Linked DNA regions of Oryctolagus cuniculus. The protein of the gene in region 1 interacts with the protein of each later gene in a biochemical or structural test. Links are inferred from orthologs where the notes say so. Each region holds a gene or a part of one and is shown on either strand. Other genes may lie near its edges.

What was found. The genes of interacting proteins can lie anywhere in the genome.
Region 2: the proteins of MAPT (region 1) and S100B form a complex in vitro, tested with the Homo sapiens proteins (2 studies listed by BioGRID). The link is inferred for Oryctolagus cuniculus from reciprocal best matches to the Homo sapiens genes MAPT and S100B.
Region 3: of the proteins of MAPT (region 1) and PRKACA, one has a biochemical effect on the other in vitro, tested with the Homo sapiens proteins (9 studies listed by BioGRID). The link is inferred for Oryctolagus cuniculus from reciprocal best matches to the Homo sapiens genes MAPT and PRKACA.

What each region holds. Positions count from the first base shown.
Region 1 is NC_091448.1:17,309,949-17,314,198, forward strand, and holds the start of MAPT (microtubule-associated protein tau), read right to left. Parts: upstream 2,928-4,250; 5' UTR 2,753-2,927; intron 1-2,752. UniProt on the Homo sapiens protein: Promotes microtubule assembly and stability, and might be involved in the establishment and maintenance of neuronal polarity.
Region 2 is NC_091435.1:240,425-243,547, reverse strand, and holds part of S100B (protein S100-B), read right to left. Parts: intron 1,515-3,123; 5' UTR 1,506-1,514; coding exon 1,368-1,505; intron 1-1,367. UniProt on the Homo sapiens protein: Small zinc- and- and calcium-binding protein that is highly expressed in astrocytes and constitutes one of the most abundant soluble proteins in brain.
Region 3 is NC_091447.1:62,969,212-62,971,957, forward strand, and holds the end of PRKACA (cAMP-dependent protein kinase catalytic subunit alpha), read right to left. Parts: coding exon 2,708-2,746; intron 2,333-2,707; coding exon 2,207-2,332; 3' UTR 788-2,206; downstream 1-787.

The sequences.
Region 1 (4,250 bases):
AGCAGGGACACACAAGCCACCGACTGTCACTCACCAACACCCAGCAAAGCCAACAAACCCTCCCAAATCATCCAAGGTGAACCCCAAGCCAAGCCAGGCTACTGCCCCAAACACACCTGTTACGGAGGCAAACGCCAGGGGGTGGATTAGCGTCATGAGTGGCTGTGGACCTGGGGGGGGGGGCTTTCCCTCCTCTCCCCCTCCAGCCAGCCACACATTTCTTTCTGTACTCAGAGGGAGGGTTAGAGATGAGGGGCCGGAAATTCATAAAACACAGCTCAGAATCAGCCAAGCGGGAGAGACATTTCTCTTCCACCGTAGTATGGGCGTGGAGGGGGCAGGGTGGGGGAGGGGCCGGCCAGTGTCGCTGTCCCAAGGGGGAGCCAGCACTGGGCCAGGACTTGGAGCTACAGGTTCCTGAGTACCAGGGGGTAAGCGGGGTCTCCCGGGAGGGAAAAGAGCCCCCCGCTGCTGGAGCCGTTAGGGGGCGGGGGTGAGTGTCCCTAGGCACCACCGCGGGGGCTGGGCGCTGCGCATTCCCTCAAGGTCCTGGGGTGACACCATTAAGCCCCCCAAAACGGAGCGAAATCTCGGACCATGGCACCGGGCTAAAGGTGTTGTGCCTGCCGGGCTCCCTCTCCTCCCCAGGGGCTGCAAAGGGCTCCCCCTTTCCCGGGCCGCCCCAGCGCTGCCGAGGGGCGAAGGGCTGGGGGAAAAGGATGCTTGACTCAGTCCGGGGCGGCTCCTGCGGGCGCTCCACCCCAGCCAGGCTGTTCCAAGGAGCGGAACCCGAGAGGCCTGCGCGGACGAGCTGGCCCGACCACGCTCATCGCTCTCGGAGCCCCACGCCCACACCAGTTTCCAGCGCTGGAATAAAGCGGAAAGCCATCACCCGGGAGGTGGCCGCATACCCCCGTCTCACTGCCAAATGCGGCGACGAACTCCGACTCTTAAGTGAAAATCTCGCACTTAGCAATATTAATTAGCCCAGCCAAGATAATAAAATACATCCGGGACGCCTGTCTGGGTGGCTGCGGCCGCCGGGGACTAATTAGAAAGAGCCACAGGTCAGGGACGGGGGACTCCCCAGCGCGCGCATCTCGAGGCCCGCCCTGGGTCCCCAATTTCCGCGGGGAGGGGGCGGGGCGACGCCGCCAGGGTCCGTCACCGGACGCGTGCGGTTCCCATGGCAACTCCCCACTCAGCTAGCTCGGTGGGTCTGGAAAAAAATGGGTGTGGCGGTGGCGCCCGAGGGAACCTCACGCCCCCTCTTGACATTCTCCAGCCTGGCGTAGCAACAGGGCGTAAAGCCGGGAGAGACGCCGGCGGCGAGCGCGCCCCCATCGCCGGACAGCCGCGCGGGCGTGTCCCCCAGGACGCTGGCAGCCTCGGGAGGTGCACGGCGCGCCCAGACCCCGAATCCCACCCCCCTGGGCAGGGAGGGCGCTTCCCCCGCGTGGGGCTGACCTCCGGGAAGGGTGGCGGCTGTTCCACCAGCGCCCCGGAGGCTCGTGACCAGGGCTCATGGACCCCCGGCAAGCACCAAGAGCCGACAAAGGGTGGGAAACGAGGGGGCTAGGAGTCTTGGCTGAACGCCCTCGTGGAATGGAAGAAACCCCCAGACGGGGCCGCGAGCACGGATCACGTAAGCTCTAGGAACAAAGCAGCGAGCTGTCGAAGAAAATTCCGCGTGCTCGACCCCCGCGCTCACTCCCGCAGCATCCAAACGCCGCGATTTCGGGGCTGATGGTGTCCCCCCACCCAAGGCCAGTCCGTGCCCCGTTCCGCGGAGCCCGACCACCCGGCTCGGCTTGGGAACAGAAAGACGTGACAGCCGCAAAAAGATGGCACCTCGCGTTCGGCAGGGAAAAAACGGGGGAGGGGTGGGAGTGGGAGGAGGCACAGCCTGCTCCCCCCTCCGCCGCCCACCCGGGTCCACACCCACTGCCGCAGTGAGGGGCGAGCCCTGCGCGCCAGCCCCGCGCCTCCGGCAGGGAGCGCCCGGCGCAGAGCGAGAGAAAGGGACCCGCCCCGAAAGGCACCTGCAGCCCCCGCGCCCGGCTGTGCAGGGCTGCGGCCGTGCGCGCCCGCGAGCCGGGAGCCGCGGCCCCGCAGTCCGTCCACGTCGCACGGCCCGGGGCCGCCTGCCTCGGAGGGCGTCCCCGCGGGGACCCACGCACCATCTCTCCTCGGGCGCGGCGCTGCCCAAGTCCCCGTGCCAGGCGCGCGCAGGGGGAAGGGCGGCTGGAATGACAGCGCCTGGCCCCCTCCCCATCTCTCGGGTTCCTCCCAGCCCCCAAATGTCCCCTGTGGCTTTCTGAAGGAGGAACGGACGGAGGAGGGGGCGGCGAGGAGGGCGCCGCCGGGGAGGTGCGGGCACGGAGGTGTGCGAGCCATCGTCTTTTCGAGAACCCGATCCGGGTCTTGTTCTCAGCAGACAGCGGCAGAGAAGTCGAATTTGAGGTTCGGTTTCGGGGGTCGTCATTGGACTCCCCCCTACACACACACACGCCCATTGCGGCAAAAGGCTGCGATGGAGGACAGAGCGCAGCCCCCTCCCCCAGGCCACCATCCGCGCCCCACCCTGCGGGCACAGCCTCCGCCCGGGACCCCAGCCACACAAGCGCACGCACACACACGCGCCCCGGTCCACGCCGCCCGGCCCCAGCCCCCGCCGCAGGTGGGCATTAAACTCCGGCTGCGGCGGCTTGCGGAGCGCACGGGAGGCGGGTGTCCGAGTCCCGGCGCTTACCTGGTAGTCGGCAGACGGCGAGGACTGCAGCGGGCAGCCGAGGGAAGGCGGCGGCGCTGGCGGTGTGCAGACGGTGTGCAGCGGCGGCGGCGGCGCTGCTGCTGGTGCCGGAGCCGGTGGGTGGCGGTGGCTGCGAGCGCGCGCGCGCGGGCGAGGGGGCGCGTCCCCGAGCCCGACCGGAGGCGCAGGCGCGAGCCGCGGGGGCACGAGCCACCCCAGGGGCGGGGCGGGCCGCGAGGCCTCCGCGGGCGCCTTCTCCTCCGGCCGCCAGGGGGCGCGCGCGAGCGGCCCGCCCACGGCCCCCGGCTCACTCCTCTCCCGAGTCCCCTCCCCCACGTCTTGGGCCGCGGCGCGGCCAGCCGCGCGCACGCGCGCTCCGTAGCGCACGCGCACTTTAGGCCTCCCGCGGCTGCAGCCTTTGTCTTGTTGGGGGGTCTCCTCCCTCCGGCCCCTAGCTGAACGCGCGCTGCCATGCTGCCCTTTTGGTTTCCATCTGCCCGGGGCGGTGTCCTATGTCGGGAGCCCGCGGCGGGTTTCCGTGCACCTGCGACCTCCGCGCCTCTCCCCCGGGTCCCCCCGAAAGGCGCTCCCGGCTGGAGGTCACCGGCCCCGCTGCCTGTCTCCTTGCTGCTTGTCACCCTTTTTTGTCATTGAACAAGGTCACTTCTTTGCTTCATCGATCCGTGTCGTGGTGCTACTGTTACGGGTTCGTTTTTAAACGAACGGCTGCTCGGATCGCAGCGCAGCCGCGGCTGCAGGTGCAGCTTCCGACGCGGGTCTGCCAGTGCCTGCAGGGCACCGTCGGCCGGGATGGCTCTCGGCAGCCTGAAGCTGACCTGCGGCTGCCCTGGGAGTCCACACATCCCCAGCATCCGAGGAAGCCCCGACGTGGGAGACAGAAAGGGGCAGGGGCGGCCGTCTCACCCTCGCGGACGGGGGCTTGAACTCAGCCTTTCCTTGCATGGCTCCTTTTTTAGACCGATGTATGCTTTTGGATTAATATAAAAAGCAAACAGTGAAAATCCTGTCTTCACACGGGTTTAATTATTATTGGGAGCAGCGGGTAGATGATGGAGCTGGGGCTAACTGAAAAAAAAAATATCATTGATTTTCATTTTTGAGAGGCAGAGAGACAAAGATACTGACTTCCATCTGGTTCTGTACCCAAATTCCTGCAACAGCCAGGGCTGGCCCAGGAGCTTGGACGTCCGTCTGGGTGGCAGGGACCCAGGTAGGTGAGCTGCCCAAGGAGCGTGTGCCCGGCAGGAAGCTGGAAGGTGGAGCAGAGCCCAGGCACTCCTGTGGCCCGCGGCATCCCGCAGTTTCTTGGAGCGAATTTCTCTCTCTCTCTCTCTCTCTCTCTCTTTCTTTCTTAAACAGATTTATTCTATTTATTATTTGATAGGCAGAGTTACAGAGAGAGGTAGAGACAGAGAGAGGTCTTCCATCCACTGGTTCACTCCCCAGATGGCTGCAATGGCTGGAGCTGCACTGATCT
Region 2 (3,123 bases), on another chromosome or scaffold:
TGGGACTGGAAAACTGGTCATGTGGGTGGAATAGCTGTTATATTTTGAACTTGAATACCTAGGAAAACCAGTCTCAGAATCAGATTTGGAGACTGCCTAGAAAGCCTGTCAGCATGTTTCCCTCTTGGGTGGTGGGGGGGACATTAACAGTGCTGGAGGGTCACAGGGAATGGGGACAGAAGAACCCCAACCATCCTTCCAGACAACAAACAATGTTTTGTTGTTGGAAACCAGCAGTGTTGCTCTGCACTGAGAGACTCAGCTAGTGCAGGAGGGTGGTTCCCCATCACCATGCAGCAGGGCCCTACCCCAGTATCTTCTTCAGGTACTAGTACTTTGATTTCTCCTGTGTGTGACTGGTCATATTGATGCCCAGAAAATTCACTGATGGCAAAAATCCCACCCTACCTGTGCACATGACCACTGTTTCAACCTGTGATCCAGCCTTAGTTCTGGCATTGTGGGAATCAGGTTCTGGGTGGATTACAGTTCACTTCCATGAGGGAATGAGGCTGGTGGGCAGTAGAAGCAATGGGCAGCTGATCCAAGGGTAGTGGACACAGAAGGAAGGAAAGTGAATCTTTCATGCCAGTGTCTGGATTTCTACCATACACCAGAACAGGAGCTGCATGGAGAAGGATAGGGCTCATCAGGAGCCCTTGTGCAGCTTCCTAAATAGGAGCCCAAACTAAAGGCAGTTTCTTGCCAACATCCCTTACTCCACAGAGGTGCCTGTAAGGCCTCAGGGCTTCCACAGTTTGTGCACAGGCCTGCTCATGGCCTCAATCAAGTCAGTCACAGTCAACCATTGATGGACCAGGCTGGATGCCTTGAAAGTAGAGGCCATTGACTTGTATTGACTTGTATCTCTCACAGTGTTGGATTATTGAGGGATCAGTAAATGTTTACCAAATGAATGTCTGGCACTTTTTATCTCCGTGGTAAATAGTAAACATCTAGCTAAAGCCAAAATATATCCTCTCCCCCAAGCAGAAGTTTATTAGCTTGCTTATATGTTCACTTTGGCCAATGGTAAGTCATGAGTATTTTTTCATCCCATTCTGCTATCATTATCATTTGTAAGTCCTTAGATTTTCAGAGAAAGGTCAACATGATTGGGAATATTTACTTCTACAGCAGTGTTTCCTGATGGGCTGTTGTGCCCACGCCAGGTGACAAGAAATTGAAAACAAAGAGGCCCATCCAAGTGAGTCTGCATACAATGAGGACTCAGTAGTGCAAAGAGGTTCTAGAAGCAACCCAGGTATCCCAAGACAGAACTGGAATCACCTTCAGAGCAGCTCAGAAAAGAAAGTGCAAAGTCATTCTATAAGACAGAAGAAGGGATAAGCTGTAGCAAGACTCACCTCTAAAAAATGCGAAAGCTCATTGTTGATGAGCTCCTTTAGCTCAGATTTCTTCAGCTTGTGCTTGTCGCCCTCCCTTCCCGAATACTGATGGAAAACATCAATGAGGGCTACCATGGCCTTCTCCAGCTCAGACATCCTAGGAGTCTGCAAAGGAAAGATGCCTTCTCATGCTTTGTCCTTGTTTGTACATAACACACTGAACACGTCAGCCATGCAGAGGGGGTAGTAGACTGGCCTTAGTACATCTGTCCGGCCCTTGAGCAGGTGAGTGTCACCTGGAGGTGCATTCTGGGAAATCTGCACATTTATGACGTTCTTCCTCTTTGCTTGTTAGATCCACCTCCCACATGTCCCTTTCTGTGTCCCTGTGGTCTGCAAGGATGAGTCCCAAGCCTGCTGGCTTCTGGTTGGTCTGGGCCAAAGGGAAACTTAAGAAAAAACTGAGAGCCAAAGCTGCAGGAACGTTCAGGGATTGATGCCTGCTTCTTTCCTCATAGGCTGCTCTCTGCCCTTGCAGGCTCCGGGGTGAGGAGACACAGAACAGGTGAGCAAAGCATCAACTGCCAGTTGATAGGGTTAATCAGCAAGCAGTCAGGTGATGAGGAGCAAAGTAATAGCAATCAGCAGCTGGACAATATCCTATTCATATAGCAGTAACACATATTGTCTAGGAATAAGAAAAACCAAGTCCCGGTAAAAGACTATAGAACATGAAATGTAGGAACTTGTTTTCTTTGAATATATAAATTAAAGTCATTTTTCATAAAAATGTTAACGAAGTTTTTTGGTGATGTGTGAGGAACCTGACAAAGTAGCTATAAAGCTAATCTGAAAAATAAATGTGCCACAATTTGTTTGGAAAATAAGGGACAGGCTCTTTGTGTAGTGGTTAAGATACTGCTTGGGAGCTGACATCCCAGTTTGGAGTATGCACTTTACAGTCCTGACTCCACTGCTGATTCCTGCTAATGCACCACTCCTGATTCCAACTTCTTTTTTTTTTAAAGGTTTATTTTTTATTTATTTGAAGGGAAAAGTTACAAAGAGGAGGAGAGGGAGGAGGAGGAAGAGAGAGAAAGAGAGAGAAAGAGAGAGAGAGAGAGAGAGAGAGAGAGAGAGAGAAATATCTTCCATCTGCTTGTTCACACTCCAAATAGCCGCAGCAGCTGGGGCTGGGCCAGTCTGAAGCCAGGAGCCAGGAGCTTCTTCTGGGTGTTCCATGTGTGTGCAGGGGCCCAAGGACTTGGACCGTCCTCTGCTGCTTTCCCAGGCCATTAGCAGGAAACTGGATTGAAAGTGGAGCAATCAGGTCTCCAACTGATTCCCTTACGGGATGACGGCATCACAGGCGGAGGCTTAGCCTACTACACCACAATACTGACCTCTGATTCCAGCTTCTTGCTAATGCATGCCCTGGGAGGTAGCAGGTGGTAGCTCAAGTAGTTGGGTAGCTGCAAGCACATGGAAAACCCAGATGGAGATCCTGGCTCCTGGCTTCATTTGGCCCCGCTCCAGCTGTTGCAAGCATTAGAGGAGTGAACCAAGAGGTGAGCATGCTTGGTCACTCTCTGCCTTTCAGATTATTTAAAAGAAAGAAGAAAGAAAAATAACAATGAAGGGCATTTGATTTACCAGAAATAAAAATATATCCTAGGTTTTATGATTAAACTGCTGTAATCCTGACACAGGAGTAGACAGTGTGCAGCAGGACCACAACTTGGGTGTTTCGTGGACGGACCTCCTGCATTGAGGG
Region 3 (2,746 bases), on another chromosome or scaffold:
GAGCCCGGGCCCCCCGCCCGCCCCCTTTTACCCTGCGCTCGCGCTCACTCCGGCTCGCTCCGGCCCCCCCTTACAACTCCCGCGCGCTTTTTAAGGAGGCGCCGCGGAGTTGGCGCCGGGGCGGGGGCGGGGGAAAGCGGCGGGCGGGGGAGGGGGAGGGGAGCGCCGGGGGGAGGGGAGAGCGGGCGGGCGGGCGGCGCTCGGCCGCCCTCCAGCCATTGGGCGCGGGACCCAGACGTCCCCGGCGCCCAGCCCCCCTCTCCACGCCTCCCCGGCGCGCTCCGCTCCTGGGACCGTACTTACCGGGAACTCGCCGCCCGCGGGTCGGGGCCGCTGCGCTCGCGGGGCGCTGCGGGGCGCCTGGGCCGCCCCCGCGCCCCTTGAGGGCGCGCCGGGTCCCACGCTGAGGGTGCGGGGAGGGGGCGCGCACCGCCTCCCGCCCCCACTCCCCGCCCCGCGCCGCTCGGCCGCCTCCCGGCGCGCCGGCGCCCGTGTCTCCCCGAGAGCGCCCTCTCGGACCCGGGCTGGACGCGCAGGGGCCGCGCTTCAGGTTTGGGGACCCCGACCCCGGGGTCAAAGGGCGCTGAGGTGCCCCCTTCCTCTGCGGGGTGGGGAGGGGCGCGATTCCAGCTTAAAAAAAAAAAAAAACCAAAAACCCGGGTTTCCGAGGGCTCCCGGCCGGTTCCTGGTCAGCCTGGCCGCTGGGGTCCCACAGCCCCCCAAGTCTCTCCCAGCCGCGGGGAGAGATGTGTGGGTGGGTGACCGAAGTCGGGAACGCCAGTGACACTTTTTTTTTTAAACAAAACTTTATTGGTAATAGCTTTCAAATATGTTTACAACAGCACACTTTCAAGAGGAAGTCTCGTCCTTTGCGCACACAGGTTGACTCGCCCCCAGCGCCCACCCGGGCCCCACCCCAGGCCTGGCAGCTCCTCCCGGGATGGGCAGAACTTAGGAGAGAGAGGGGCAAAGTGGGGGGCCAGTGGGGTGGCTCCCCAGTTGCTCCCCACTTTTAAGAGAGGGGGGAAAAAGCACAAATCAGACGTAGGAGAGTGGGGGCGGGAAGAAAGAGGTGATGGACAGCTGACAGTTAAGCTAGAGACGAGGTGCCCAGCTTGGGGTGGGGGGCGGGGCGTGCCAGAGCTACTGGGTGAATAAAAACGGGCAGCCCCTCCCCAGTGGCCGTGGCCTTGAACCCTGGGCCATGGGGTGGGTGGGTGGGGGACCTGGCCTCTTAGTCCTTTCACGGGGTTGCTGCCTTGGCGGGGAGGCTGGGCCTTTAAAATCTAGCTGAGAATAAAATTCAGGAGTTCGGAGGAGAGGCCCTGGGCTGGGCTCTCCCTCCCTCCCTCTCTTTTCTTGGGGGGCTCGGGGTGGGGGTGGGGTGGGGACTCTTTGGCAGGGAGAGGGGCAGCTGCTTTGTCTGACTTCCAAATCCCAAGGGTGAGGAAAGGTCTCTTGGGAGAAGTAGGGGCTTGCTCAGGGGGCTGAGACCCCCACCCCCTGCAGGCTTGGCAGGGGACACCCCCACCGCCCCCCACCCTGAGAGGGGGGGCGGAGGCTCACACCCCAGCTCCTTCCTTGGACAAAGCTGATCTCCTTCCCAGCCTGGTTCTCGTGGGCTTGGGGGGCGGGGGTGGAGGAGGCACTGGTGGACTTTAAATAAGATTTTAAATGGTTTCTTAAGAAAAAAAAAAAAAAAAATCCTAGCAAGAAGCCCACTGAACAGGTCACTAAAAAAAAAAAAAAAAAAAAAAAAAAGACAAACTCTCTCCTTCCCCTGGGCCCCGGCTCCAAAGGGAAGGTTGGCTTTTCCATCGCTGTCGCCCTCGGCCTGTGGTGGGGTAAGCACAGGGGTGCCGGGCTGGAGTTCAGTTTGGGCCCTTCATTCTGCACCCTGTCCCTGGACGCACCAGCAAGACCTTGTCTCACTGGAGCTGATGAACGTGTTTAAAACAGGCAGAAGTGGGTTGGGGGTGGGGGCTCCTGGGGGAGGGGCAGGAGGGGGTGCGGCTGGTGGTTCCTTTACTCTAAATATCTGGGCCTCCTGCTCCCCCCTACCTGGGAGGGTGGGGTGGGGTGAAGTTAGATGCAAGGAACTCGGGGGGCTCTCTGGCTGTTCAATCCAACCCTCCCACCCACCCCCACCGAAAAAAAAAAAAAGAAAAAGAAAGAAAAGAAAACCCATAGGGGCACGGGTACACCCCTAAAACTCAGCAAACTCTTTGCCACACTTCTCATTGATGGAGACTCGGATCTCTTCCTCCTCATAGTCGTCAAAGTTACTCGTGTCCCCGGGGCCTTTAAACTTTGGTATGAAAGGAGCTTCCACCTGGAGAGGGACCAAGAGCCACCCAGACTTCAGTAGTCAACAAGTGACATCAGTACAACAATAAATGCGAAAAGCCTAACACCCAGGAGATAATTACTGGGACCCACATGTGTGCCCGGCCTTAAGGTATAGACTCCCCTTACCAACCCGAGACTCTGAACGGCAGCCGGCTCCCCAAAGGAGCCAATGACTTCCTAGAGACAGGGTCAGCTGCTGCCTGGGGGGCACGGAGCGACCAAATGGCCCCAGACTCCCATCTCCAGGCCTCCACGTCTAGGTTGTCCACTCCAGGTTGCCTAGAGCCTGTGCCCTCTTCCCTTTCCATCTCTCCCCAATGCCCGGGGCAGGGGAAGAGGGTGGGGAGGCGACACCCACCTTCCTCTGGTAGATGGCGATCCAGTCGGTTGTGGCAAA